5 linked regions of the Canis lupus familiaris genome follow. The protein of the gene in region 5 interacts with the protein of the main gene of each other region in a biochemical or structural test. Links are inferred from orthologs where the notes say so. Each region holds a gene or a part of one and is shown on either strand. Other genes may lie near its edges. The genes, in order: HRAS, KHDRBS1, ENO1, FYB1 and FYN.

Region 1 (5,681 bases), on a different chromosome or scaffold from region 5:
TCCCCACCCTCCCAGTGTAACAAGACGGTGCGGGCAGGTGGCCCCCGGACACGGTGGGCTTGAAGACAAAAAACGGGGTCCCCTTCCCTTCGGCACCTGCCTGGGCCACCCCAGAGGCCCCGCGACGGACCAGGCCCTGGAGCACCCCCGGGACTCCCATCACGGGGTCCCCCCAGCCCCCTAGGGACGACGCTGTCGGGCCCAGGACACCCTTCCTGCCCCGCGGCCACTGCAGCTCATGCCTCTCGCTGGGCAGTGACGGGCACAGCCAGGGCAGAGCCAGGGCGGCGCTGAGCCCGCTGCCCCGAGGCCCCGCACAGGCCCGGGACCCTCTGCCCTCTGCGTCCACAGGGCAGCTCAATGCTCGCGGGCAGAGCGTGGTGGTGAGTGCGGGGGCCCAGAGGCTCTGGCCCGCCGTCACCGTGCCCTGCCTCATCTTGCTGTCCCTCCCGGAGGGCGGCACCCCCCGCACAGGACACCAACCCCTGACCCAGAGGGACCTGGGCTGGCCTGGCCCCAGGCTCTGTGGGGGCAGGGGCGACTCGAGAACTGCCCCCCAGGCCCAGCACTAATGGGATCCAGTGCTCCGGGGCCCTGGCCAGGCCTGCGTTCTGGCCCCGGGCTGAGCGAGCCCTCTCAGAGCCGGATGTGGCCTCCTGGGCCCTGGGCGTGCCCCACAGATCCAGGTCACTGACCTAGGGCAGCCCTGGGGATCCCGGGACACCCCAGGGCAGGGCAGCAGGGGCAGGCCCGTGGGCCCCACCCGCACCCACACCAGGAGGCAGGCTCCTCCACGTGCTGGGGCTCCAGCAGTCAGTCACCCGGCCCCAGTGGGCCCGAGGCCGGGGTCCAGCTGCCCTGCGGGGACCTAGAGCAGGAGCCCATGGGCCGCAGGTCCAGGCCAGCTCTGCTGTCCCCAGAACCGCCTCTCAACACCCCAACCTCAGGACACACACCCCCACCCGGAGTCCGCACAGGCTCCAAAGTGGGCGACTCCAGCACCCGTACCCCCGTGGGATTCCCGCTTTCCTCTAAGGACAGGAAGGTCTCCCAGGGGAAGGCGCACACCCTCGGCTCTGAGCCCGTTTGCTGTTGCAAGTTCAATAAGGTGTTGTGTGAAAATGCACGGCCGGCTCGTTTCTGCGTCTCCCGGAGCTCTGTGCACGGGGTGTGGAGACACCCCCAGAGAGGAGGAGGGGGGACCTCCCGGCCCCGACCAGCCCCTGCAGGGGCGCCGCCAGGCACACACAGCTGACGTCCCCACGTGCCTTGCAGGTGCGGCCATACGCCAGGGTCAAGACCATCAAATAATTTACTGCGACTCAGCCTTTGCCCCGCGGGCAAGGACGGGACTGGGGGAGAGTGACAGCCGGGGGGGCCCGTGGCCTCAGTTCACGACAGTCTGTGCAAAGCGCCCTGGGAGGTCCGTGCTCCCCCTGTCCAGGGGGCCTGGGCTGGCCGGGCCCCGGGGGCGCTTCCTTCCTTCCTCGCCCTCCTCCTTCCTCCTTCCGCGCCTCCTCCCAGCTTCCGGCACCTCCTCGCCCCGAGCCTGTGCGCCTGGGGCACAGAGGACCAGCGGGGCTGCCAACGTGGCCCTGGAGGGGACGTCAGGACAGCAGGCACTTGCAGCTCATGCAGCCTGGGCCTCCCTCGTCGGGCGGGCTCAGCTTGCGCACCTTGTGCTGTCGAATCTCTCGCACCAGCGTGTAGAAGGCATCCTCCACGCCCTGGGAAGACGGGGCTGGCTGAGCGTGCGGCTCGGCCCGGGGGCCTGGCAGCGCAGGGGACCGAGGGACCCCAGCGTCAAGCTCATGCATCATCCCAGCTCCCCCTGGCCTCTCCCCACCCCGCCCCCACACAGGCAGCCCCAGGGCTCCCCCCATCAGGCGGCTTGGCCCTCAGGAGCTCCCCCACAGGGCAGCCCCGAGGTCTGGCTCCCAGCTCTAACATCCAGGGTCCCGCTCCTGTCTGACCTACCACCCTGGTCCCCCACAGCCCATTAAAGAGGGCAGGGCCTACACGGGCCCATGGGGCTTTCTGCGGGCAGGGGCCAGGGCCCCAGGGTCACCACTCGGCCTGGCTCAGGGCAGCTCTCTCTGGGGACCTCTGCCTCTCCCTGGAGCTGTGTCAGCCCAAACCCTGGGCCCCGGCCTCCCTCGCTGCCCTGCCGTCCGGGGACACTTACAGCGCTAGGGGCCGCTGGGTCACGGGGGTCCCGGAGGGTCCCAGAGGGTCCCGGAGCTGGAGCCAGAGCCAGACCGGCTGCCCTGTGTCGGGGGAGAGGGGGCAATAAGCACTGCTCCCTGGCAGGGGCGGGGCGGGGCGGGTCCCCAGCTAGCTGCGGGGTGGGGAGCCGGCTCACCTGGCGCGTCTTGGCTGACGTCTCGATGTAGGGGATGCCGTAGCTGCGGGCGAGGTCCTGCGCCTGCCGGGACTCCACGGTGCGAGCAGCCAGGTCACACTTGTTCCCCACCAGCACCATGGGCACGTCGTCAGAGTCCTTCACTCGCTTGATCTGCTCCCTACAAGAAGGAAGGTGGGAGCCAGTCGGTAGGCTGCAGGCACGGCTGCATCCGAGACCCTGACAGAGAAACGCGATGAGAGGCAGAGGAACAGGTGGCTCTGAGGGCCGGCCGGAGGCTCACCTGTACTGGTGGATGTCCTCAAAGGACTTGGTGTTGTTGATGGCAAATACACAGAGAAAGCCCTCCCCCGTGCGCATGTACTGGTCCCGCATGGCGCTGTACTCCTCCTGGCCCGCTGTGTCCAGGATGTCCAGCAGGCACGTCTCCCCGTCGATGACCACTTGCTTCCGATAGGAGTCCTGCGGCAGGCCAGTGCTTCAGAACGCCCAGCCCCACACCTCCGAGGACGGGGCCACCCAGCCACCAGCCCCTCCTAGGTCCCCAGGTGCCACCCCCAGGTCCCACGAGCAGGGGCCGCCCTCCTGCGGAGCCCACAGCAGACATGCCCACAGCAGGCTCAGGGCTGGGCGAGCTCACCTCGATGGTGGGGTCGTACTCATCCACGAAGTGGTTCTGGATGAGCTGGATGGTCAGGGCGCTCTTGCCCACGCCTCCAGCGCCCACCACCACCAGCTTATACTCCGTCATGGCTCCTCACGGGACGCAGCACAGGACGCCAACGAGGTCTCCTGTCCCACCTGCTGAGGAAGCTGCTCTCAGCCCTGAGCCAGCCCCGTGGGGCAGACCACCCCGGCCCCGACCCGGTCCCCAGGCCCCACACAACCAGGGAACCGGGCGCAGCCGCCCACCTGTGGCACCTCCAGCGGGGGGGGCGGCGGGGGGGGGGGGGTAGGCACCTCGCCGGCGCTCATGGCTGCGAGAGAGCAGGGAGAGCTGACAGCTGAGAGCATCTCCCAACCACGCACCCAAATTAGAAGTTGCTGGGTAGGCAGAAAGCGTGCACTGGAGGGACCCGGAGGCCCTGCAGGCTGAGATTACCGCCCCTCCCCGCAGAAACAGGTCCTGCCACAGCGGAGTGCAGCAGCGTGCCCGGGCAGGCCAGAGCCCCGCCGCGCCTCGCTGCACCGGACTAGCATCTGCGGAGCGCCCGCGGCCGCCAGCTGCTGCTCCGGGGGCGAGGCCCGGGCCCTCCTGTCCCGGGGGGAGCCCCAGGCCCGCGGCCGCTCGAGCTTCGCAGGAGAGCAGCGGCGGGCTGCGGGGATGGCGGCCCCGGGAGCAGGCCGGCGGGGTAGGCGCGGGGACGGCGCTGGGCCGCGGCCTCCGGCCCGGCTCCCGGTCTGGGAGGTTTCGGGACGCGGTGCCCGGGGCTCCGGTGCGAACGCCCGGCTCGCCCGCTGTGCATCGCGGAGGCCGCCCGCCGCCCGGGCCTCGGGGGCGCGCCTGGCGACCTGGGGGCCCCGCACGCGGCCCGCGGAGGAGAGGGCGCGGACGCCGCCGCCCGGGGCGCCCCCGCACCCCGCACCTCGCACCCCGCACCCGCCGCAGCGCCCGCCCGCGGCTCACCTGCGCCCCCGCGCGCCCCGCCGCCGCCGCCGCCTCCACCGCCCGGCGCCGCAGCCCCGGCCGCCCCCGCCCCGCCCCGCCGCCCGCCGCCCCCGCCGCACTCACCGCTCACTGGCGCGACTGCCCCCGGGGCCGGGGCCGGGGCCGGGGCGGGGGCGGGGAAGGGGGCCGGGGCCGGGGCGCGCGGCTCGCCCAGCGCATGGGCTCCGTCCGCGGAGGGTGCGGCTCGGGCTGCGGGCTGCGGGCGCGGGCGGGCGGACACTCGGGGGGGAGGGCGCGCACGCCCCGCCCCGCGCCCGTCCGTCACGCAGGCGCGGCTCGCCATTGGCCGCGGCCGTCGGGCCACGCCCCCGCCCCGCCCCGGCCCGCCCCGCCCCGCGCCGGTTGGCCGGCCCGCCCGCCCGTCACGGGCCGCGGCCGGGCGGGGCTTCCGGGAAGCGGCGCGGAGGGCGGTGCCCGGCCCCGGAGGCCCTCGTGGGCCGCGGCCTGGGGGGGCTGGGCTGCGCCCGCGGGCGCTCGGCGGGAGCGCGAGAGGCGCGGGCCGGGGCGGCGGCCTCCGCGGGGAGCTGCCCGACAGGACCGCGGGCGGCGGTGCACCGGGGCGGGGGCGCTGCAGACCGGCGGGAGCCCGTGTCCCGCGGTGGGGGGCTCCCTGCGCCGCGAGGCCCAGCGGAGGGGTCAGGCCGGGAGACGAGGCTCGAGGAGGGTCAGGGTCGGCGCGCCGGGCGGACGGCCGGGACGGGAGGCGGGCGCCGGGGCAGGCCGGGCCGCGCCCCGAGCTCTGGGGCCTCATGGCCGGGGCTCGGTGCCCTACACCCCCGTTCCCATCAGGTGGCTCCGGAACGGGCGCCTGGCACCTCGGCTTCGTCGTGCGCGCGGCACCCGGGGCGCCCAGGCCACAAGGGGCAGCGCGGCGCGGAGCATCGTTTGATCCCGCCCCAGGGGTCTCGCTGGGCCGCAGCCTCGCCCCTCTCCTCAGCCTCCCCCTGCAGGCCGGCCCGCCCAGCCCCCTAGCCCGGAGGCTCCGGCCCTGCAGACGCTTGCGCGGGGCCCAGTTAACGATGGGCCCTCTGCAAACCAGCCCGAAAGCTGCCCGAGGGCTGCGTGCCGACGGCTCCCCCATCCGGAGCGCGAACACGCACACCCCGCATCTTTTCCAGACTTTCAAAAAAGACGTGGTTTCGACATTTTATTTTAAATTTCAAAGTAGTGCATCAACACACCGTGCTTGTTTACAAAAAGGAAGAACGGTGCAGCCCGCAGGAGGCCCAGGCTGGCCCCGCTCTGGCGGCCCTGCCCGCCCTCCCGTCCTGCCCCCTCCGGTGCCGGCGCGCGCTGTTCTCGTGGAGCCCCTCCCACTGCAGGCCGTGACCTTGGCGGGCCCCTCGGGGGGGGGGGGGCTGCCCCGCCCGCACACATCGCCTACAGCACGTGCCGAGGCCGTGGCCGGTTGGCCGGCCCGTGCACTGCGCGGTGGCTAGGACAGAGCCCGGCGCCCGCTGACGCGCACAGACGCGGAGTCAAGGAGCGGCAGTGAAAGCGAGTGGCGGCGTCCCCCGAGAGCGCGGACACCCCAAACCCCTCCCGGTGTCCAGGTCTGCATTTCCCTCGTCTTCGGGGGCGCTTTCCTTTTGTTTTGGCATCGCCACCCTTAGAGGAGGGGGTCCCTCCCGCAGGGCCAGGGCCGGGAAA
Region 2 (5,500 bases), on a different chromosome or scaffold from region 5:
AATTGAGTCAAATGCCATTTGCAAATCTTTTCACATACTTCCTGATGAGAGCCATTCAGTTTTAATACTCCATGCTTTTTTTTTATATATATATCACAGGTGGATAGAGCTTCAAGAACAGAAGATTCTGGTCACCATAGAGATGCCCCCCCTCAACTCTTCACCTCCTCCTATCTTACACACTACTGCTTGAGACCCACACTCTGGAGAATCAAGTAACCAATGACAGCCCATTTGTCTAGATTCTTCGAAATGCTACACCAATACGGAGGAAACCCAGATCTGCCTGATAGGCATCTTTTTAGAAGATCCACTTACATCAAAACCTTGCAAAGTCATCCCTTTTGAGAAATATGCTGAGACTAAGGATAAAGAGGAGATGGGCATTCCCCTATAGTCCTTCAGGAACTAGGTGGCTCACGATGCTTCAGTAGAACACCTCAAAAAGAGTAAAAAGGACTCCCTCAAGGAAAAATTTACCAGCTCTGAGTTCTTCTCTAGGATATTTTAAATTGGCTGTTTCATGTTTGAACATTCTAACGAAGATGAAGTACTTGGAAGCCAAGCAGCTGCTGAGACATCTGAGACAGTGTTGAAATTCTTGAAGCTCAGCATTATAGGTACACACTGCCTATAAATTTTTGCTCTACCAATTCTCACATCCTCTGACACATATAGTTCCAACTCCTCATTTTGCATATTCAAGAAAACCAAGAACTGTATCTCACCTCCTATTAGTTTTAGTGATAAAAACAGGATGCTTACTCAATTCTAGCTAAGAGTATTTCACATACTTCCTAAGGTTCCAGATTCATCCTTGGTTATTAAACATTCAACTGTAGTTTGTTAACTCTGACAACTAATAAGTCTTGCTGAGCAAAAATCACAACATTTTCTGCTTATTCAAAGAATGGACCCTCTGACCAGGTGGTAAAATAAGCAAGATATGTAACCTGGTCTGTCCCAATTCTTTGTGGGCCTCAGTTACACTCTGAAAGGAACTGCACACCAATTTGTTTAATATCAATAGTCAAGACTATAAAATCATGCCTCTTTCAAATTAAACTCCATGTCAGTAAATTCCTCCAGGAGAGAAAGCCCTGAAAGCACCCAGGTCAAAATTTAATATATTAACACTGGATGCTAGAAGCCTCTTGCTGTTATCTTCTACACTCTCCAAAGTCTAGAACATTAACCCCTGAGTACAAGGAGTTTACGACTATCTTAGCCTTCTTCTTATCATAACCTCCTGGTTCCACACTAGTACCAACACACTTAATTCAGTGAAGACTGTTAAATCTTTGTTAATCAGATGTTAAAACGCCAGACACACTGCAGACCCAAGATACTAACAATAGATCCTGGTATATAACCAAAACCACATTAGACAAGGAGGGGTAGAGTAGCTTTGGGGCACAGTGCTTTGAGAACTAGGTATAAGTAACACACTACCTCAGAAAAATGAACATAAATACAGAATTTGGTATGCAATTTCAGGTTATGCAGAGATCATGATTAAGAACCCCTGCCTTATTAGCAACAGTACAAGATCCCAGTTCTCTTTTGCTCAAAGATATAGGATGTGGATTTCCTTACTGGTACTAGAAACTTCTTGACTTCCTCCATAGCATGGGCCATAAGAGCGTAAGCCTCACATGGGGGTCCAAAGACTTCAATAAACACATGCAGATCCATATTCAAGTGGGCATATTTGGGGTCTCCACCTTTGCGCAGCTCTTCCTCCTATGGAAAAATGCAGAAAAACATCACATCACATAGAATGGGAGAAAATGATAGTTATTTCCAGCTCAAAGAGAAAGAAATTAAATATCTAAGAAAAATAGCAAAGTGTAAGACAAAAGCAAACAAAGTCTAGAGGATAGTAATTCACACAACCTGCTAAACCTGTAATTTGGTCTGCTACTAAAAGTTAACCACTGTATTGAGTCCATGGTATATTCACTGCAGCTCTTACTAGGTGTAGAAGAGAGAAACTTAATTCCAGTCTTCATTCAGATATAAGCTGTTTGCCAAGCATGCATGCATTCATTCATTGCCAAGCATTTGTTTTTAAATTCCACGTAGAGGGATGCCTGGGTGGCTCAGCGGTTGAGTGTCTGCCTTCAGCCCAGGGCATGATCCTGGAGTCCCAGAATCGAGTCCCACACTGGGTTCTCTGCATGGAGCCTGCTTCTCTGCCTATGTTTCTGCCTCTCTCTCTGTCTCTCATGAATAAATAAAATCTTTTAAATCAATCAATCAATCAATCAATCCTAGGTAGAGCTGTTGAGCACAGGCTCTTCATTTTTTTTTTACACTAAAAAAAAAAAATACTATTTATTTTGGGGGTGGGGGGACAGAGGGAGACGGAGAGGGAATCTTAAACAGGCTCCATGCCCAGTGAGGAGCCCAAAGCAGGGCTCGATCTCACAACCCTGAGATTATGACATGAGCTGAAACCGAGTCAGATGCTTAACCGAATCAATCACCCAGGTGCCCCTAAACTTTTTTTATTCATTAAGTAATCTCTACCCTCATTGTGGGGCTTGAACTGAGGACCCTGAGATCAAGAGTCACATATTCTAGTGACTAAGTCAGCCAGATGTCCCAGTACCAGTTCTTTTTATTGTCTGGGATGTTCTAGGGGAGGAAAGAAGTCAGGATAGAGTGAAGAAAATCTCATTAGCTAGAATAACATACTTCAGCCCTAAGTGTATTCATCTAGTGAGAAATGTGAGTGGATAAAAGAAAACAATGTTCATCAGTTTAGGCTGCATAAAAGGAGCCCTGAATGACTAAGTTCTTAGACTGTACCTGATATATCTCATCTAAAAAGCTGACCCTAGAATGCTAAGACTATTCTGTTTTGGTAGAATTTTCTTTCTTTCTTTCTTTTTTTTTTTTTTTGAGTGCTTATAAAGAATACAAAGCTCATGGGCTACGACATGGGAAAAAAAATTAGCATTAGGTTCTGTTGTCAGGATTACTATGGTTCCTTTTGAAATACTTTCTTTTAGTGTTCTTTACATTCCAACTGGCTCTAAAAAAACCCAGACAACTAATCCTCAGATTCACCTGTACTCACAACATTACTGCTCTCATTTTTCAATGTTACTGGAAAGGGAATGTGCTGTTCACATTTTAGTGTCTTTAGTCTGGATAAGTTTTAGCATATACAGCTTCCCTTCCAAGTTTTCAGAGACAAGCTTACAAATGTGAAAGTTGTTACTGCTGCTTCTATTACGAGGCAGTCAAAAGTCAGGAAAAAAAAAAAAAACCACTAGGGCACACCTAGCCTCTTCCAGCGTTGCCAAACAAGTAAATTAACTAGGTCTGTAATCTCTTACACCCAACACAAATTTAAGGGATTCACATTCTGTATTTTTATAAGTACTGGCTTCCAGGAGGCATTGTCTTTTTGCCTCACTGATGTGAGCTTACCTTGGCTTTGTCTCTCATTGAGCCCTTGCCCAGCACAGAGATCTTTGCACCTGTCTCTTCTTGCAGTCTTTTGATTGTATTTCCTTGTGGTCCAAGGATCTTCCCCACAAAATTGAACTGACAGAAAAGAAAAATAGATTTCTAAATACGTATGTTCCTATAAAACACTTCCACATGTATTACTGTCTCATTTGATCTACAACCCTGCAAAATAGGGTGCATATTACCATTCCTATTTTACTGAAAAGGATATGCTGAGGATACACTGAAAAAAATGAATAGTCTAAGATTATACATATAGAAAGCAGCAGTTCCTAGACTTGAACTTGGGTTTCCAGATGTAGTCTAGTGCTCTTTCCAAATTATCACACTGCAACCCTTACTGCTTCAACAAACAAATATTTTTAAGGCAGTGACTACAGAACAGACATATGGCATTCTTTTATAGTACTTGTTTGGTAAACTAAATATAACTAATTTCTTTTCTTTAAAAAAAGGAAAAAAGGAGGAGGAGGAGAAAAACAAGAAAGTATTTATTTGAAAGTAAAACACTGATTAAGAAATAAAATTAACTTCATCTAGTCAAAGATTTGTGCTATATTCCCTGTATTGAGATTTTATCAATCTTTTTTTTTCCCCACATCAATCTTTTGACAGAGAGCAACTCTTCAGTTTTTTTCTTTGAACTTGGAGCCTGAATGTTTGAGAAAGAAACTCTTTTTGGTAATAAAAAGTTGATATTTCCTTCCTAGATATAGGTATACGGCTACTTACAGACTCAGATGTTTCAACTACCAAAAACAAGTACTACAAGTATGGAAGAGAAGCTTCACAGGCTCAAGGACCTAATGCATCACAATTTCCAGAAGTCTTTATTATAGCCCGTGGCTCTCACACCTACAAAGACAACCAAGTGAGGCACGTCTGGCCTTACCTTGGGATACTGCTTGACAGGTATCAGTACCCGCTCCTTCAGCTTCATGTTCTTATGAGAAAATAAATCCAAGTAATTCTCCTCATCGTCCTTTTTTGAATCTCCTTTCTGAATCTTCTCAATTTCTGAATAAGACAAACACAATTCAGTTTTTGTTCTGGTAACTAAATGCAAATATCCAAGTCTGCATAAAGCAAAAACAACATAAGACCAAATAGTTCAGATGAATGTGCTAATTTCAGATAGAGACTGGCTGAAAGCATCAAAGGTGTACAGAGTTAACTAGGAAACCCAGAGGTTGCTTCTTATGAAAGTAGTTTGCTCTTCCATCCCGACCTGAAGCCTCTACATCAGAGCCATTCAAATGTTTCTCAAGAATAAATGAATTTAACAAAACAAATGCAGAGAGATGGGGAAAAGAGGATAAATGACTTAAAAATAAAAAGTCTGTATCAAAAAAAGAGCACAGTCCTGATGAAGAAACAAAAGTTACTAATAAAATGAAGGGTTCCATTAAAATTCCACTGTGATATTAGAGCTTTGGATCATAGTAGTTCTTAAGAGTTTTTGAAAGACGTCATTCTTAGTCTGCCATTTACTAGTTGTGTAAACTTTCAAAAGTTGTTTAATTAATTGCCCTAATTTTTGGTTTCCTCATCTGTGAAATGGGGGGAATACCTACTTCACATGAGGCTGCTATAAAGACCGAGTAAAATAATGTATATACACACACCAACTAAAACCCATTTCCTAGGAAGTGCTTGATATACGGTCAACATTATCTAGGCAAATTCAATGTCCTAAAGGAAAACCAAGGTACTTTCAATTCCCAGGTTAAGACAGTTTCATCAGATGAAACTATCATCTTAGTATCCAAAAAGATCTCCTATAATTAGGGAACTTCATCCACTCATTGGAAGCATTTGAGTGCTTCCTATGGAGAGGCAGATAAGGGAGAGATATAGGAATGATCATTAACCACTAGGGGAGACTTGCCAAGGGCCAGGCATCTAACCTATAAAGTATAGGATACACAACAAAATAAGTCAAATATGATCTCCCTCTTCACTATGTTTATACACTGACAATCCCAGTCTATGAAGTTGGCAGTGAAATACACTTAAG
Region 3 (5,500 bases), on a different chromosome or scaffold from region 5:
ACCCCTGTGCTGACCGCCACCCGAACCTCCTCACTTGGCCTCACCCCTCTCCCGCAGGACAGGACTGGCTCCCCACGTCCCCACCGACTCCTGTGACAGGGCACCAATGTCACCTGCAACCCTAGGACCCTACAGACGCTAAGTGGGACACTTCCTGTCCAGGGTGGCTTGAGTTTAGTGCCGGCGAGAAGAGAAAAGCTGTGGGCTCAGGAGACTGCGGAGCTGGGCTCGCCCTGGCTCCACTGAGCACGTTCTCTATCTTTGTTCCAGCAGGGACTCAGACTTCCTGGTCTGATTCTTGCTCCGTCACCTGCTAAGCACCTTCGGGCCGATTACTAACCCACTCCGTGCCTCAGTTCCCCTCATGAAACAGCAGGAACAGTCCCTACCCTGCGTGCGTGAAGTGACATAGAGACTAGAGGAGCGCCAGCTCACTGTGTCACCCACGGGCAGTCAGCAGGCTTGAGGCTCGCTCTGCTCACGATGGAGCCAGGACAGCCTTTGCTCAGGAGGCTGTGATAGGGACAGAGGGCTCACACACTCTGGAGACCACCTACCACCTGAGGTCAGTGCTGGCTGGCACCCCAGAACCACCTGACTCCACTGCTCCACCAGTGCCCGCCTGCCCCGCTCACCTGGGTAGTCCCTGATGAAGGACTTGTAGAGGTCAGCCAGCTGATCAGGCGTGATGTACCTGCTGGGGTCATCAGGGGACTTGAAGTCCAGGTCATACTTCCCAGACCTGAAGAACTCGGAAGCAGCTACGTCCATGCCGATGACCACCTTATCGGTGTAGCCAGCCTTCCCGATGGCATTCTTCAGCAGTTCCAGAGCTGGAAAGAGGTTGGCGACAGGATTGGAAACCAGGCAGGTGGAGAAAAAAGTTCCCTTCAGCAGCTGCCAAATGGGGAGCTCTAACAGAATGACCACGAGGTACTCTGACCCCAATCATCGCTTTGACGAGTCCAGTACTTCTTTCCGCATTGGAGCAAGAACCTGCTGGAAACGGCCCCCAGCAGACGGCCAAATGGAAAATTTAGTCTCTCCTCTCAGAGAGTTTCTTGCTGACACATGCTCCCAAATTTAGCAGCCAGGAGTGACTGTGCTGGCTGAGACAGTTACAGTGACCAGCTGAGAGCCGCTGTCCTAGGAACCCAGGAGGGCAGCAAAAGGGTGAGGCCCGGCCTCTGGGGCCTCTTGTCTCCAGCTCGAGGGCGGCCTCACACGGCAGAGCTGCCCGGACAGAGGCGGACAGAGGCACTTGGCGTCTGCTCCCTACCACAGATCTCCAAGCTATCCCATTAAACCACGTGAAAGGGTCATTTTTTGTAGGTCAAAGTAGCTGAGCCTCAGCATTTTGTATGACTGACCCAAAGAGCAGGATGGATGCTTTTTCCTTTACTAGTTGTCCCTGAGACAACAAAATGTGGTTGAACCCTCCTTTCCTTCTAAAACAAAAAGCTCAGCCGTGAGTTCTCCTCTTAAGACTCTCTGTGCCCTACCCAACTCTTACGTTGAACCCTGTGCCTAAGGGCTCCAGGCAACAAGGCACTGTGTGAACAGCCCTGTAGTGGATGAACTGGGGGGGGGGGGGGGGGGGGGGGGGGCTCCTGGTCACGGGCTGGACAGACGACATCTCCGGGACACAGTGCGGACTTCAAACCTTTGCCCTTATGAGGTGGTTCAATGGCAAGAGAGCAAGTAGGGGCACGTGGTGGCTTAGCTGGTTAAGTGTTTGCCTTCAGCTCTGGTCCTGATCTGAGCCTTTAGTTCAGGGTCCTGGGCTCGAGTCCCTCATCTGGTTCCCTGCTCAGTAGGGGGTCTGCTTGTTCCTCTCCCTCTGTCCCTCCCCCCTGTCCATATTCTTTCTCAAAAGAATAAAATCTTAAATAAGCAACCAGGCCACTCAGAAATCAAATTAATAAGCAAATTCCTTATTTTAACAAATAAAGTACTAGCTTCCCCATCTGTTCCCAGAAGTCTGCTTGGTGAACAGAAGGTGGAAGGACCAGAGCTCCCTGCATCACAGTTCCGGCACATCTGCTAAGCGTGCGGGCAGTGCCACGGAATGCGGGGACTCCTCCAGAGCCTTTACCTTCTTTGTTCTCCAGGATATTAGGAGCAAATCCACCTTCATCGCCCACATTGGTGGCATCTTTTCCATATTTCTCCTTGATGACATTCTTCAGGTTATGATAAACCTCTGCTCCAATGCGCATGGCCTCCTTGAAGTTCGCTGCACCGACGGGAAGGATCATGAACTCCTGCATGGCCAGCTTGTTGCCAGCATGGGAACCACCGTTGATGACATTGAAGGCCTAGGGAGAGATAGAGAGAAATACAGCCATCTGGCCCAGAGAGCGCCCCCAAGCAACCTCCTCACGACTGCATGGCTCACAGTGTGGCTCTGAAATGCTCACCAGGTCTCTCCCGCTAAGAGCAGCGGTCACCACCAGGTGTGCTTACTGTCCTGAGGACCAGCTATGACCTCAGAGAACATTCACAACCCAGCAAGTATGGTTTTCATTCCCTCATCAGCAGTAAGGGATGTGGGGTACAGTCCTCTACTCAGGGTCATTCTTAGCAAGTGGCAGGTGTCTGCACCCGAGACCTCCAGGGCCTGCGCGTGCCCACTGTGCTGGGAGAGTTCCATGTGGAGGACACCAAGATGTGGGAGGTCTTAGGTTCCCACAAAGCAAATACCCACAAGCTCCTCACTTGGAGTTCCAAGCCACTCACCGGAACTGGCAGGATAACTTCAGAATTGCCAGCCAAATCAGCAATGTGGCGGTACAGGGGCACCCCCTTCTCGACAGCCCCCGCCTTGCAGACAGCCAGGGACACTCCCAGAATGGCGTTTGCACCAAATTTAGCTGGAATAGAACAATTCAGTTGAGGAATTTCATACTCCCAGCTTCCTGCTGACCTTCCGGCCTGCACCCCCACACCAGCATATACCATGGCCTGTATCTGGAACCTTTCCTCTCCTGACCACGTCTATTCCCCGAATCCGAACCAGAAACCCAACAGCTCTCCACATGAACTCATCTATCTGCTTTCTCCCAAGAGAAAGCCCTTTCTTTGGTCTATGGAACTCTGGCAAATTCCACAAAAACTGCGTGCTGCTGTCACCTGGTATTGCTCCTGATACTTAGAAACGTGATTTATTCAGGTGAGGAGGGGGGCCCTGAAAAGCCCCCAGACTGATGCGCAGTCCTCAGTGGGGACCGCACAACCACCCCCAGAGGGTCGGAAGGTATTTGGGAGACACCAGCAGCCTCCACCCCTGACCACTCACATTTATTCTCTGTCCCGTCCATCTCGATCATCAGTTTGTCAATCTTTTCCTGCTCCACAACATTCACTTTCTGCGGGGAGAGGAGAGGGTCAGTCACGGGGGGATGGGGGTGGCGGCGGCAGTGTCATACCCCTCACAGGACCTTTGCGCTCCTGTGACAGAACCCAGTTAACTTTGGAACTGTGCAAAGTCCAAATCACTTCTATGTTATGTGTCTGGAAAGCAAAAAAAAAGAAGCGGGGGGGGGGGGGGGGGGGGAGGGGGGGGAATGGAGAGAAAACAGGAGGCACCAAAGCGCACGTCACTTGCTTTCCTGGCAGCAGGCATTTCTCCAAGGACCGGGGCCAGCAGTAAAATATGTCAGACATGGTCCCGGTGGCACCACACGGAAGCCAGAACTGCCTGGCACATGCTGACAAAGGTCACCACAAAATAGTGTGATGTGGAAATGGTACATAGCAGAACTCTGTTCACGCAAATGAGCTGGGCTCCTCACAGGTTAAGTGACACCACCACCGCTCGGCTATACCCAGTGATGGCACACTTCCCTGTCTCGTGGCAAACAGGACTTCTGCAGGCAGCCCAGAATCACTCAGCAAGATGCTTGATGACAGCTCTAGATGAGTATTTCTGGTCAGAGTATAAAGCAATAAACTGGTATCTTAAAGGTGCACCTGACTGACTCAGTCGATAGAGCAGGCAACTCTGGATCTTGGCATTCAGAGTTCAAGCCCCACGTTGGGTAGATTACTCAAAAACAAACAAACCCAAAAAACTGGGGATGCCTGGGTGGCTCAGTCAGTTAAGCACTTGCCTATTGATCTCAGCTCAGGTCTAGATCTCTGGGTGGTGAGTTTAAGCCCCAAATGGGCACCATGCTGGGCATGGAATCCACTAACAAAAACAAGAACCCCAAATCCACCCCTGCAAAAACTGGTGTCTTAAAAACTAACTCATTTATTGAATGTCAGCATTACTTTAAAAACTTCACAATTGATCATAATGTGTACTACTTATTATGTGCTTTATAAAAGGCAAAGAAAACCATCCCCAACTCCCATCATGCCACATTAATAATTTGACATTTGAAAAAAAAAATAATAATTTGACATTTGTTTTGACAAAACACATTTGGCAGGAGTTAGCCATCATCCAGGAATGATGGCTTGGGGCAAATCCTCACTAGGAGTTTGAAGATGGTCTCCCCTATAGCGGAAGAAAAATGTCCCGGAAAGCCCTGGTCATGAGGAGTCACGCCAGGCAAGGGCACCAGGCACAAAGATCAGGGTGTGTGGAAGTACCCAGGAGACTGAGTTTGGGGCGTGTGAGCCTGAAGAGCAGCAACGAGAAACCGTCTGGGACCAATTACCGAGTGCCATGAAGGCCGGGCCAAGGTGAGTGAGCCAGGGGGACATATTTCCACCTGCCACTGGCATACAGGACTTCAGGTGGGGAGGCCAGGGTTGGCCTCAGACCCAGAGAAGGCTCCTCTAGCCAGGGCTTTGCACATCTTCCCCGACCTGCACAAATGCCACCCAAGTTATGGAGGGAGGGCCCCGGGGGGGAGGGGCTGTTGGGTTGTTTGGCCCCTCCTCCCTACTTCACCCACAGCAGCTCTACTATTCTACACACTAAGGCTCCAAGTAAGATTTTTAACCACAGTTCCTCTGTTTCAAAAACGTCAGTAGAAATATAGTAAATAATTCCATAGTTCATGAAAAATAGTCACCACAGATACTATGCTCAATGCCCAAGAGCTGCCCTTAAAATTTCGATTTTAACTTCCCAAAGGTCAAGATAGTTGGAGGGGAAAAAAAAATTTAAGGCCATGAGACGGTCTCCCGTCACTGTACTCCAATTCCATGCGCTGTTAGATGTGGACACGCAGGCAGGGGGTGGATGAGAAAAGGTGAGATAATTCTCATGCACGACAGGGAATCCGACTGGCTACTTTAGCTCTCAGAATAAGCTCTTCTATAACCCGGAAAGCCCACTGGCCTGGGAGACGCTCTGAAGGCATTAATACATTAGTTCTCAGGAGGCAGGTCCTACCTTGCTAATCAGGGCAGGTGCAATAGTTTTATTGATGTGCTCAACAGCCTTTGAGACACCTAGAAGGAACAATCATATCAAATTACCGACATTAACGAAAAACAGGCTTGAGCAGCATTGAGCGAACTACCAATGACGTTAACCCAGATA
Region 4 (5,500 bases), on a different chromosome or scaffold from region 5:
CCAATTGTTTAGGAGGAGAAGGGAAACTGGAAAGAAAATGAGAACACATTTATAATCAGACCAATATAAACGAGAAATTGAGACCTTTTATTTAGGGGAGGCATGAACAAGTAATAGCCCAGAGGCTTCAGACTGCTAATTAATCTATTTGATGGTCATTCCTTTCTCATCTCCATTTCTCCACTGAGTCTCAGCTCCTTTCCATCAATTTTCAATTTTGCAAGACTTTTTTTTTTTTTTTTTTTAATTCCAATGGTGGCCAAAAAAGTCAAAAGTCAAGGTATCCAGTGGTTTATTTTGCCCATAGCCATCTATTTTTGAGGTTCTTCCAAATATTTTCAGATTTGTTCTCTGAAGTTTGGGCATATTATCACATCAGAGTAAATTAAATGGACTCAATGTTTTGGAGTCATTGTGGCATAGCTCAGGTCAAAACTTTTTATTTGACTTAAAGAGTAGAAATGAACAAAGGTCATAGGATTCTTTCTATGACCATGTTTTCCCAAACAGGAGAATGGTGAATAAGAGAGGAATATCCACTGTAGCCACAGAGGAAGAGTTTATTAATCTGAAATCAGCATTGGGTGGCATTTAGTTGCAATCTAATCAGTAATCTGAAATCAGCATTGGGTGGCATTTAGTTGCAACAGAAAAAGGCCTTTGCTTTTATAACTTTCTGAACTTTAAACACACACACAAACACACATCTCTAGAAGAATGGTGCACAGTTATACTAAGGTGTGAAAGGTCATTAGTTCAAATGACTGAAAATCAAAATTAGGAGGTGTACAATAGGAGCAAGAAAAATAATCTCTGCCTTTATTTCTAAGTAAGGTCATCATTTGAATAATGCTGTATCAAGAGAGGATTTGTTAAAATCAAAGAGGATTTGTTATGTTTATTTACAATTTTGAGTGTCCTGTTTACTAGGTGTTGATTTTAGGTCTCACAGAAGAGTTTAAAATAAGGAATTCTATGTGGAATTAACATTTAAAAAGACATTAGTGAAGTATGGAGAATCTGTTGAGCTACCGAGACGTTGAATATTTATTTAGAGAAAAGAAATTCCAAATTTTGTCCTTTACTTCCAGCAAATTAATTTTTAAAAGAGGATGTATATTTTGAAGGGTAGTCACTATCAAATATTATATAATATAATGTGGCCTTGGCATTGTGAGCTTTTAGATATGATGCTACATTTAAAAAAAAGTTCTACTAAACGCAGTATGTAGGAGTATGTGAGGGTGTGTGTTTGTGCATTTGTGTGTGTTATCTGCACATGTTTGTTGGGAAGGCAAAATATATCTTTAAACCATATGATAATTTTTGAATACTTTGTGTTCCTCTTACATAAATGCGTGAGTGTAAGGGTGACAGTAAATAAGGCTAAAATGACTAATGGAAAATGACATCGAAGTGACTTAAGCCTGTCAGAATTTGGTTATTGGTTATAAAATATTAGTAGCATTTGATTAAATTAATATTAGTGTAGTTATTGTGCACTGGATTTGGTTGGTTGACTCTTACGATGAACCTTCATTATTGTCTGACTCAGAGACTTTAGGTTTCTCTCGTATACTTTTCTTTCTGTCATCTTTTCCCTTTAACATCTTCAAAATCCCCCAGGACCACGAATTACTCTTCTCTTCAACCTGTAGTGTGGAGCTTAGGAGCATGCAGGCATTGATCAGAATGGAATCATCAATGGAATGTGAAGATGGGTGGACATTCAGATTTTTTATAATTATACTGCATTGATCATTCAGGCAGTAAGTTACTCATTGTAGTCACCAAGATGATGCTTTTAAGTTTATCGGCCACGGTCTTTGAATATTGCTGCTACTGGTAGGTAAGTTATTTTTTTCTATTTAGTGAAATATCTCTTGGTTTTAAAACAGCAAGCTAAATCAAAATTAAGTTATAAGTGTCAATTTTGCATTATTTTATGTTTAAAATTAAGTGAAAATCTTTGTTTTAAAATATGCCATTATAAAAGTTTAAACACTTAGAGAATTAACACTGTTTTTTAATTTTTATTTTTTAATTTAAATTAAATTAATGAACATATAGTGTATTATTAGTTTCAGAGGTAGAGTTCACTGATTCATCAGTTGTACATAACACCCAGTGTTCATTATATCATGTGATCTCCTTAATGCCTGTCACCCAGTTACCCCATCCCCCTCAATACTAGTTTTGCCACAAATAGCATATGGTTTCATTTTATTTGGATTGCCTATAACTATGGTTATTATCCAGAGGATAGCCATACAACTGATAAACTCTCCAGAGATTATAGATTGATAAAAAAATGATTGTGAAAAGTTTGAAAAAAAAACTACAACACTGATAATTCTTTTTTATTTCATTTCTTTTGACAAAGTTGTTGAGATTCTTCCAAATAACATGCCACTTCACTTGAAGTGTGGTGCAATTATACTTTCTGACTTACATCTGCTATTAAGTAAACATTCAAACTATTATTCGTGTGGTAATAAGGAGCACTATTTTTTGTTTTTTTATTCAAACCAGAAATCGACACTAAATTTCAGTTGGCAAAAAATTTTCAAGAAAGCAGTTCACTGATTATTCTTACCCATCATCAGCATCTTCTTCTTCAATCCCATCATAAATATCATCATCTGGGGGAGGAGGTGGGAACATCCCTTCATTTGGATGGTGGGGGAGAGAAACTTCTGTTAATTTTATAATTTGGTCATGTAATAGTCACTCAAAATTTGATAATAAATCTGCCTTATTTAAACTGCAGAAAATATCCCTGTTCCTTATTAACCATTTAATTAAAGAATAACTTTATTTTCCCACTCTTACATAGATAGTAGGTAAATTAATTGTTTTGTTGATTATTTTTAAAGGAATTCTTAGAGGTGAAATTTGAATATTGAATATGAAGGATAATAAAGGGTACTGTGCAGTGGGGAGAATAAATATGAGAAAAAATAAAACTGAGTTGAAGATAGAGTTAAAATATTGTGGAAAAGAGGAGGGAGGAGGTGATAAGAAAAATTTAATTAATAGTGAGGGGACATTCAGAAAAAGAGAATGATCAAGATATAAGTGAAGAAAAACAGAATTAAACGTGAATTTGTGAATTTTGGTGGTAGCTCTGATTCATTTAATCAAAGTGATATTTTAGGAGTTAAAAACCCTTTGCTGTAAATCCCCAGGAACCTTGCTATTTGACAAATATTTATTTATGAAATGTTTATTGAGTACCTCCTCCTTGCAGAAATGTGTACAAAGAACTTATAATCTGACTTTTAGGATGAGAATTTTAGCACTTCAAGGTATTAGTAAAATACCTTTATTTTGGTGATGAGGATATGAGGAGTTTTTAGCTGTCATAGTTAAGGTAACCATATAAGTTATCATCCAAATAAGGATACTTCTGAAAGTGAAGGGGGATACTATTAATAATTGTGCTCAGACAATTGGCATAAATCAAGACTGCCCTGGGCACACTGGAAATAGAGTCACCCTATAACCCATAACAAACTTGGAGGAAAGAAGTGACTTGTTTAGGGTCACTCAGTGGTCAGGACTGCAATCTAGGTCATTAGCTCCTAATCCAGTGGTACCACATTAAGATCCTCCTCATTATGTGCAAACAAAAGCATCTTGTTATTAATATAGACAAAAATGGTGAAGACATAAAGAAATTGCTGATAAAAGTGTGTGGCTTACCTCCACTTCCACTCTGACTGTGGCTAGGAAAAAAATAAACAAATTAAATGAGCTTATGAATTATGTAGCTAATGGGAAGGAATTGCCTATATTGAACAGTTATGTAAAAGAGAAATAACACTGCAGTTAAAAGTTATCAGGATGTTGTATGTAAAGAGGAAGAAACATTGTTCCTTATCATAATAGAAACAAGGCAAAAACCAAACCAAAACAAACTAATAAGAACCAAGTGAACGTTAGTACTACATAAAGTCTTCAAAACAATGTTACTGTTTGCTTCTAACATTTCCCGTGAGGTAGTTTTCAGGTTATACATTATTATATCATTCTGTAGATAGATTTATGAAAAACAACCAACCAACCAGCAGTATTGTTCCAGGAGTCATAAAGAACCATTATTGCAATTAAATTCAATTCTCTTTTAATATGTTATACCCACAACATTTTGATCTTAGTCTAGTAGCATTATAAACTTTTTTTAAAGGGAGGGTTTCTAAAAACTTGGAATCTTACAAAATCTTATTCTTTTTTTAAAACAAAGATTATTTATTTGAGAGACTGCGCATGCACATGTGCAAATTGGAGGAGGGGCAGAGAGAAAGAGGGGGATAGAATCTTAGGCAGGCTCCACACCCTGAGCAGAGCCTGACTCGGGGCTCAATCTCATGACCCTGAGATCATGATCACAGCTGAAATCAAGAGCTGGGTGCCTAACCGACTAAGCCAACCAGGTACCCCGAAATTTTATTATTATTGCAAATAGTGTGGCCCTGAATTTTCTAAATCCATATTGTCTGTATTTCGTATTTATTTCTCTAACATTTTGTGTTTTCCCTGTTTTATAATCATCTGTTTTCTTGCCTGTGTCTCCCACTAAAATGTGAGTTCTGCTACAGCACAAGAAAAGTAGATTGTGAGAACTGGGAAAATCTCAGAGGACTGGCTTAATCCCCTCATTTTGTAGAAAGGAAACTGAGGCTCTGGAAAATGAAGTGACCTGACCAAACCCACTTTTAATGAACAGAAGAGCTGACATAAGAACTTCGGCATCCTGCCTTCCTCCATAATGTTTTGTCTACACTTCGCTGCACCCTCTGTAACTAGCATTTTTGTACTTTGGATAATCTGCCAGCAACAGATATCAGGCTAATATTATAACCATGCAGTATTAATTATACACTTGTATCTGATTCCTCAACCTTAAAGTCAGAATAAAAGAAATGTTCTAACACAGGTCTATGGTTAATTTAGGGGAAAAAAAATACCACCATACTCTAGTTAATGAAACTTTGTAGAAAAACATGCTATAAATGTCCTAATGTGTAAATAAGGAATTGATTTTTGATGAAGTTTAAGTATATTCTCCACTTGCTTCCATACTGTTTTCACATTCATTTTGTCTGACACTTCCCTTTGAGCGTGAAGCAAGCAGTTAGAATTATGTGAAAAATTGCAATTTTGGTTGGCTGCCACTCCTGGCAAATACATTTCATCTTGGAGACTCTTCTACCAATTCCCAACGAACAGAGTCTTAATAATCAGGAGCAAAGCTGCCACACATTATTTTATTTTTAGAGCAATTCTTTAGCTTCCTAAAATGGTCCATTTGGCATTTACAGGATGAAGTGGAAGGAGAGAAGCATGCTGGAAAAGAGAAAGGAAGGAAAGGAGGGAAGGAGAGATGCAAAGAAGTTTGGGGAGCGGAGAAGCAAGTTTGCTATGTGATGAAGTATTTGCATGTATAATTTCCTTTTCCTCAGTGTCTCATATTTATCACAGAAATAGCTTCAGTTGA
Region 5 (6,022 bases):
AGAAACAAAAAAACACAACAACAACCCTGGGCCAAAAATAGGTGCTCCTGGAGTGAAAGAACCATATCAAAGTCAACAGCAGAGGCATGAGATCCCTGTATTAAAAGTAGTCACTGAGTGGGAACTAGCTGCTTGAACCGACAAAAAGCAAAGTTTTTTAAAACACGTGTAAAATAAAAAGGTCTGAACTCAGGAAATCAAAAGAATAAAACACTGATGGGTACAGGCTCCAGGTTTCCATATATTTTAATTCTCATCAGCCTGCAAGCTCCTTGAGGGCAATGACTGTGCCTCGTTGAGTGCCAACACATGGCAAAGCTGCTGGCCCAAAATACACTTCTTCTTGATCTCTTTTCTTTGTCAAGGGGCTAACCTGTGATTCCTCGGCTCCCCAGCAATTAAATGTGGCCAAATAACTCACCCTCATGTTACAGGATGTGAGTGGAGGTGATGGGTGTCATTTCCAGGCCAAGGCATTTAAAAAGTAGACTACTACATGAGGAATAATAAACATCTATTGCTTTTGAGCCATTACATTTTTGCAGGCCTATTTGTTATAGCTGCTAAAATTAGCTTAATGAGTCCAGGTGCCTGGCACATACCAAAGACCTAATTTACATTTATTGATATAGGATAAGTAAGTCCAGCTTCCTTCTCTCAATGTGCTGACCGACTAATGATGGGAACAGAGACATGCCAAACGTAATGCCTACTGCTGAAGTCTGAAAACAAAATTGGAGGCGTGGTGATTTGTTTGGAGGGGAGGATGGAAAAAGCATCAGACTTTTGAGCTGAGCCCGAAAGGTTAAATAGAACCCAAGAAAATCAGATGGGATTGGAGAGTCCAGACCCAGTACAAAGCATAGAGTAAATACAGAAAGCAGAGTGTGCATTTGTTCACATTCAACCTTATCATTAAGTCTCTTTAGCTTGGTCAACACAGTGTGAGCTTATTGTGCACTGACTTTCCTTCCTGGGTCTGGCATCAAACAAACAACCCTTTGTTTTTACAGTACACTCATTAACCCTATTGCTTTTTTTTTTTTAATATAAAAAGGTCCACGATGAATGTCCTTAGAAAGTGGAGAAGTAAATGTTTAGTGAATCATAACTCTTTTCTGATAAAATTCTTGAAGCACAAACTTGAAACGGATTCCTTACAATAGTCAAGGAGCCATGTTCTTAGGAATCAATGGGGTTCAAACTAAGTTTTCACATTATCGATTAAGCATGTAATGGTCACCGGCTTACAAAATGGAACATTAAGCCTCTAGATTTACATTAACATTTCCTCTTTGAGAGGAACACCAAACAGATGGTTCAAAGTTCCTTCACAAGATTCTCTACATCCTTTGCTCTCATTTAAGTGTGCCCAAACATGAGATAGTTAACAAACCACTTCCTCCAAAAGCCTTTGAGTCCCTACATCTGCAAGCACAGTACCCATGGGATCAGGACTCAGGAGAAAGAGCACAAAGGGTGGAAAGTATTGCCATCGCTTGGGTGGTGAGAGGAAGGATGTGGGTGTCTGAAGGCTACTCTGAAGCAGGGAAGAGGCACGGTCTCCAGTGGTCTTCCAAATACCAACTTAGGCCATGTTTTTTTGATGTCCCCAGAAACTTGTTTAAATATAAGGCCAACACAACACCACTGGGCAGACGAAATTTCATTTCAAGACTTCAGCATTTCTTAAGACTTCAGAGAAGAAGTCTGGCTGCCTCGCTCTTACTAAACGCCAATTATCTGATGCAGAAGCAAAATTCTTCTGCCCCCACACCCATGTTTTGCACCCCAGCTCTTGAGTACCTATCCCCCGAAGAGAGGAGGTTAAAACAAGGCAGAGGAGGGCTACCTTGACAGTGAAGCAACTCTGGAGACGGCTGGCATCATTTCCCCCTTAAATCTAAGGAACACTGCAGCTGCCAGTCAACAGCACTGGGTCCATGAATGTGGCAAAATGACAGCACCTGCCACCCTGCAGCATCTGGGGCCTTTTATTTATTTATTTATTCTGGTCAATGTGGCAGGAAAGACTCTCGGAGAGAAAATCAACTGCTTTATCTGAGAGAAAGGGAAGCCCTAGTGAAGAGAAATAAGAATCATCGTGCCCATCCTTGGGTACTTTGTGCGTCTCCTCTCTGTGCACTGAAAGGGCTCTTTGTGTCACACACACACACACACACACACACACACACACACCCGGCGAGTCTGTGTGATTTATTAAGGGGAGGAGGGGCAAGAAGGGTGATTTTTATTATCCCTCTTCTCACGGAGTCCCAGCAAATCTCCGCCTGGGCCCAGCCTCGGTGGCCTCTTTCTGGCCGGGTCCCCTCCGCCTGTGGCCGCAGAGATAAGAGCGGCGGAGGCGACCAGACAAAAAACAGTCCTCGATGTGGGGAAGTGGAGAGGAAGCCCAGCGGGCAGGGATGGGAGGAGAAGGGAGCCTGGGGGAGCAGAAGGGGTGGGGAGGCAGAGGAAGGAGGCCGAGGGCTCCAGCACGGGGGCCGGGGGAGGCTGGGTGGGTGGTGGCACAGGAAGAGTGAAGGGGAGGATGGGGGAAGTGCTAGGGAGGTGCCAGAAATAGGCAGGAGGATGCGCTGAGGACGGCGACGGCCGCGGGAGGAGGCCGAGGGGGAGTGGGGCAGGGGTGGGGTGCGCTGGGGAGGGGAGCAGCACGGGGCATCAATTATTAAGTGATTACATCATCCCTGACATTAGGACAACACACACACACACACACGCGCGCGCGCGCGCGCGCACACGCACAGCCGGGTCCCCGCGGGGGCCCCCGAAAGGAGGGCGAGGGTGGAGCCCGGGCCGGCCTCGCCCCCCGCGCATCCCCGCGCCCCCCGGGCCGCGCCCCGCAGAGGCGTCCCCCGCTCCGCTCCGCTCCGCGCCGGCCCGGAGCCCGGCAGCCCCGCGGGGCGCCCCGGAGGCGGCGGCGGCGGCGGCGGCGAGACTGCAGCGCCGGGCGGGGGCGGGCGTCTCCGCAGCATCCCCCGCCCCCCGCGGCCGCTTACCTGCGCGGCGCTCAGGCTCCGGAGCCCATGCACATGGTCCTCCCCGCCCTCCTCCGGCGCGGCCGAGGCGGCTCGGCGGGCCCGGGAGCCGGGGGCCTCCCGAGGGCGCCGAGGGGGCGGCGCCGCGTGTGCCCGGGCCGGCGGCCGGATCCCTCTCGCCGGCTTTGTGCGCGGCGGGCGCTGCCGGGGCGCGGGGGCTGCAGCGCCGCGCGTGCTCCTCCGTCCCGGGGCAGCCCGCCTCTGCCTTCGCGGGCGGCCTCCGCTCACGGCGCCCCCTCCTCCTCCCGCGCGGCAGCCCCCTCCCCGCCGCTCGGCTCCTGACAGATGGCGCAACTGCAGGGACGCGCCGCCGCCGCCGCGGCTGCTCGCAGCTACTCGCGCGGATGCTCCGGCCCCTCCAGCCCCAGCCCCGGAGTGAGGACGGGGCGGGACGCGCGCGGAGACTGGCAGGCCGCGCCGGCCTATCGCAGCACGCGTGCGGAGCTGCGGCCGGCGGCCATTGGTGCCCGCGGCGCGGGGGGCGGGGCCGCCGCGGCGGGGGCGGGGCCGCGGCGGGGGCGGGGCCGCCGAGTGGGCGGGGCGTTACTGTGGCAGCAGGCGTCCTGGCGCGCGTGCCGAGTGGGCTGCGAGAGGGGATGCGAGGCTGGAGGAGTTGTGTGTGCTCCGGGGGATCGCGTGGACTCGCGAGGTCGTGGGCTCGGGCGGGGGAAGGAGGGGACAGTGCGAGCTGCAGCTCCTGCTTTGCGGGAGGTTGCAGCTGCCACTGCAGAAAGGCATCTGCCATCCCACCCCCCCCCACCCCCCGCACCCAAAACCAGGGGAACCTGCCTGGAGAAAGGGCTCTCTTGCCCTTCTGCTGCCTTTTCATTTGAAGGTGGGAGGGTAAACTGGGAAAGGGTTAGGTGGTGAGGATGTTGCCGCTCATCACACTGGGGAGTGTGGAGCAAGGTAAGATCCAATCCCAGGAACTCCGAAAGACCCGGAGAACCCTGGAAACGCACAGTTAATATCAATAATAATAAAGAGAAGGAGGAGATTAAGATTAATCTATTACTCTTGCATTTCCGTGGACGCACACATTTATTTTCAAGCAAAAGCCTGGAAGAAGTAGTATTGAAATAGGGGGAGGGGTGGAGAGGGCAGGTGGCGACTTAGGAATCTGAAATCACAGAGTAGAGATTTGTTTGTATAGTTTTTTTCCCCCCAAAACCATGTATAATTGTAGCTGTTGGTTGTCTTTGGTTTCTCGTGACATTTCGCTACTCATGGTTCCCCCCCCTCCCCTTCACCAAATCTCAGCTTTTGCTCAGATTTTCCTTGATGAACTAATAGCCGGTTAAGTATACAGTTCGGAGTGCATCAGTCTTTATTTCCTATCCAGCTTTTCTATGGCAGGATGTAACTTCATAAAAAGAAACACGTTGGCTTCCTGATTTTCTTTATAGGTAATTCCTGTTTACTGAAAATTCTCCTTTAAGGCATGCTCAGAGTCATTCTCCTTAGTGCTTTTGGCAAGAACCCTACCCTTCCCCCTCAGCAAATCTAATGTTCTGAGAAATAGAAGTGAATTAGCTTCTGATTCTATGCTCAAAATCTATATTACCTTTCCTGCCCACTAGTTTTTTAACCAGAATTTAAAAATATCAGTCACTTTTGCTGACTTTTTTTTGTACACAGTACTTTGAAAAACATTGCCCCCGTGCCTGGGTGGCTCAGTCAGAAGAGTATGTGACTCTTGATCTGGGGGTCCTGAGTCCGAGCGCAATGTTGGGTGTAGAGATTACTAAAAAAAATAAATGAAAACTTTCAAAAAAAATTACCAACATTATTAATGGATCTCCATCTTATGGATGAAGAAACTGAGGGCAAGAGAACTTAGTAACTAAACTCCAGGGGATAGTATAGGGTGATTACTGCGGGGTGTTGTTTCCTCCTTAAAGTGATAAATGATGCCATATTCAAATTATGTGTCTGGGAATTCGTTCCACGGTCCCAAGAAATGGAACCACAACAACGCATAAAAGGTTTCCATTACAAGAGAATGCCAACGTCATCTAGCCAAAAATTGTTGATCTCGAGAGAAGGGGCTCCTCTTCCTTAGTACTAGCCTCTGTCCTAGATTTGAATTGCGACAGGAGAGGCAATTGTCTAGAACAATGATTCTCAAACCTTAGCATCTTTCAGAATTACCAGAAGGGACTTGTTAAAATACAGACTGGTGTTTCCCACTCCCAGAGGGTCTGATTCAGTAGGTTTGGAATGGGGCCTGAGGATCTGTACTTCTCACAGTTTCCTGGTGATGCTGATGCAACTGGTCTGGATACCACATCTTGAGAACCACTGGTCTAGAACCGGGCTGTCCAATGAGGCAACCACTAGCCTAGGTGGCTGTTAAGTACTTGAAATGTACTTGTGTATTCGAAATGTGGCTGGTGCAGAGTAAGGTATGCTGTAAATGTAAAAGACATATTGGATTTAAATATCCAGCATGAAAATAGAAATGTAAAACATCTGATTAATTTTTATATTGATTACACGTTAAGATAATAGTCTGCGTTGTGCTCAATAAAGTATATTATTAAATTTTATTTCACATTTTTGTTTTTATTTTTAAATGTAGCTACTAAAGAATTCTTTCTAAAGATTTATTTATTTACTTGAGAGAAAGAGCACAGGGGGGAGGGCAGAGGGAAAAGGAGAAAAAGTCTCAAGTAGACTCCCTGCGTAGCATGGGGCCTAGGCCTGAGGAGGAGTCGAGCCCAAGGTGGGGCTCGATCACCGGACCCTGAGCTCGTGACCTGAGCTGAAACCAAGAAGAGGACACTGAACTGACCAAACCAACCCAGGAGCCCCACTACCAGAGAATTTTATTTGTTTTTTTTCCAGAATTTTAAATAGCATATATGGCTTGCATTACATTTCTATCGAATAGCAATGGCCTAGAGTTTCTGATTCCAGCTCCATAGCACACGCTTTTAGCACCTCGATGAGGCAAATCACTT

What was found.
Region 1: the proteins of FYN (region 5) and HRAS form a complex in vitro, tested with the Homo sapiens proteins (2 studies listed by BioGRID and IntAct). The link is inferred for Canis lupus familiaris from reciprocal best matches to the Homo sapiens genes FYN and HRAS.
Region 2: the proteins of FYN (region 5) and KHDRBS1 form a complex in vitro, tested with the Homo sapiens proteins (4 studies listed by BioGRID and IntAct, with this or other methods). The link is inferred for Canis lupus familiaris from reciprocal best matches to the Homo sapiens genes FYN and KHDRBS1.
Region 3: of the proteins of FYN (region 5) and ENO1, one has a biochemical effect on the other in vitro, tested with the Homo sapiens proteins (2 studies listed by BioGRID). The link is inferred for Canis lupus familiaris from reciprocal best matches to the Homo sapiens genes FYN and ENO1.
Region 4: the proteins of FYN (region 5) and FYB1 form a complex in vitro, tested with the Homo sapiens proteins (2 studies listed by BioGRID and IntAct). The link is inferred for Canis lupus familiaris from reciprocal best matches to the Homo sapiens genes FYN and FYB1.

What each region holds. Positions count from the first base shown.
Region 1 is NC_049239.1:25,992,771-25,998,451, forward strand, and holds HRAS (GTPase HRas), read right to left. Parts: upstream 3,169-5,681; 5' UTR 3,114-3,168; coding exon 3,003-3,113; intron 2,825-3,002; coding exon 2,646-2,824; intron 2,523-2,645; coding exon 2,363-2,522; intron 2,276-2,362; exon of another isoform or gene 2,268-2,275; coding exon of another isoform or gene 2,205-2,267; exon of another isoform or gene 1,728-2,204; coding exon 1,608-1,727; 3' UTR 1,295-1,607; downstream 1-1,294. UniProt on the Homo sapiens protein: Involved in the activation of Ras protein signal transduction. Ras proteins bind GDP/GTP and possess intrinsic GTPase activity.
Region 2 is NC_049223.1:68,528,273-68,533,772, forward strand, and holds part of KHDRBS1 (KH domain-containing, RNA-binding, signal transduction-associated protein 1), read right to left. Parts: intron 4,501-5,500; coding exon 4,376-4,500; exon of another isoform or gene 4,194-4,375; intron 3,559-4,193; coding exon 3,442-3,558; intron 1,744-3,441; coding exon 1,597-1,743; intron 621-1,596; exon of another isoform or gene 111-620; intron 1-110. UniProt on the Homo sapiens protein: Recruited and tyrosine phosphorylated by several receptor systems, for example the T-cell, leptin and insulin receptors. Once phosphorylated, functions as an adapter protein in signal transduction cascades by binding to SH2 and SH3 domain-containing proteins.
Region 3 is NC_049226.1:62,796,748-62,802,247, forward strand, and holds part of ENO1 (alpha-enolase), read right to left. Parts: intron 5,410-5,500; coding exon 5,351-5,409; intron 3,369-5,350; coding exon 3,299-3,368; intron 2,874-3,298; coding exon 2,740-2,873; intron 2,319-2,739; coding exon 2,096-2,318; intron 834-2,095; coding exon 636-833; intron 1-635. UniProt on the Homo sapiens protein: Glycolytic enzyme the catalyzes the conversion of 2-phosphoglycerate to phosphoenolpyruvate. In addition to glycolysis, involved in various processes such as growth control, hypoxia tolerance and allergic responses.
Region 4 is NC_049225.1:70,767,485-70,772,984, reverse strand, and holds part of FYB1 (FYN-binding protein 1), read right to left. Parts: intron 3,729-5,500; coding exon 3,706-3,728; intron 2,667-3,705; coding exon 2,597-2,666; intron 1,666-2,596; coding exon 1,528-1,665; intron 27-1,527; coding exon 1-26. UniProt on the Homo sapiens protein: Acts as an adapter protein of the FYN and LCP2 signaling cascades in T-cells. May play a role in linking T-cell signaling to remodeling of the actin cytoskeleton. Modulates the expression of IL2. Involved in platelet activation.
Region 5 is NC_049233.1:68,719,020-68,725,041, forward strand, and holds the start of FYN (tyrosine-protein kinase Fyn), read right to left. Parts: upstream 3,387-6,022; 5' UTR 3,021-3,386; intron 1-3,020. UniProt on the Homo sapiens protein: Non-receptor tyrosine-protein kinase that plays a role in many biological processes including regulation of cell growth and survival, cell adhesion, integrin-mediated signaling, cytoskeletal remodeling, cell motility, immune response and axon guidance.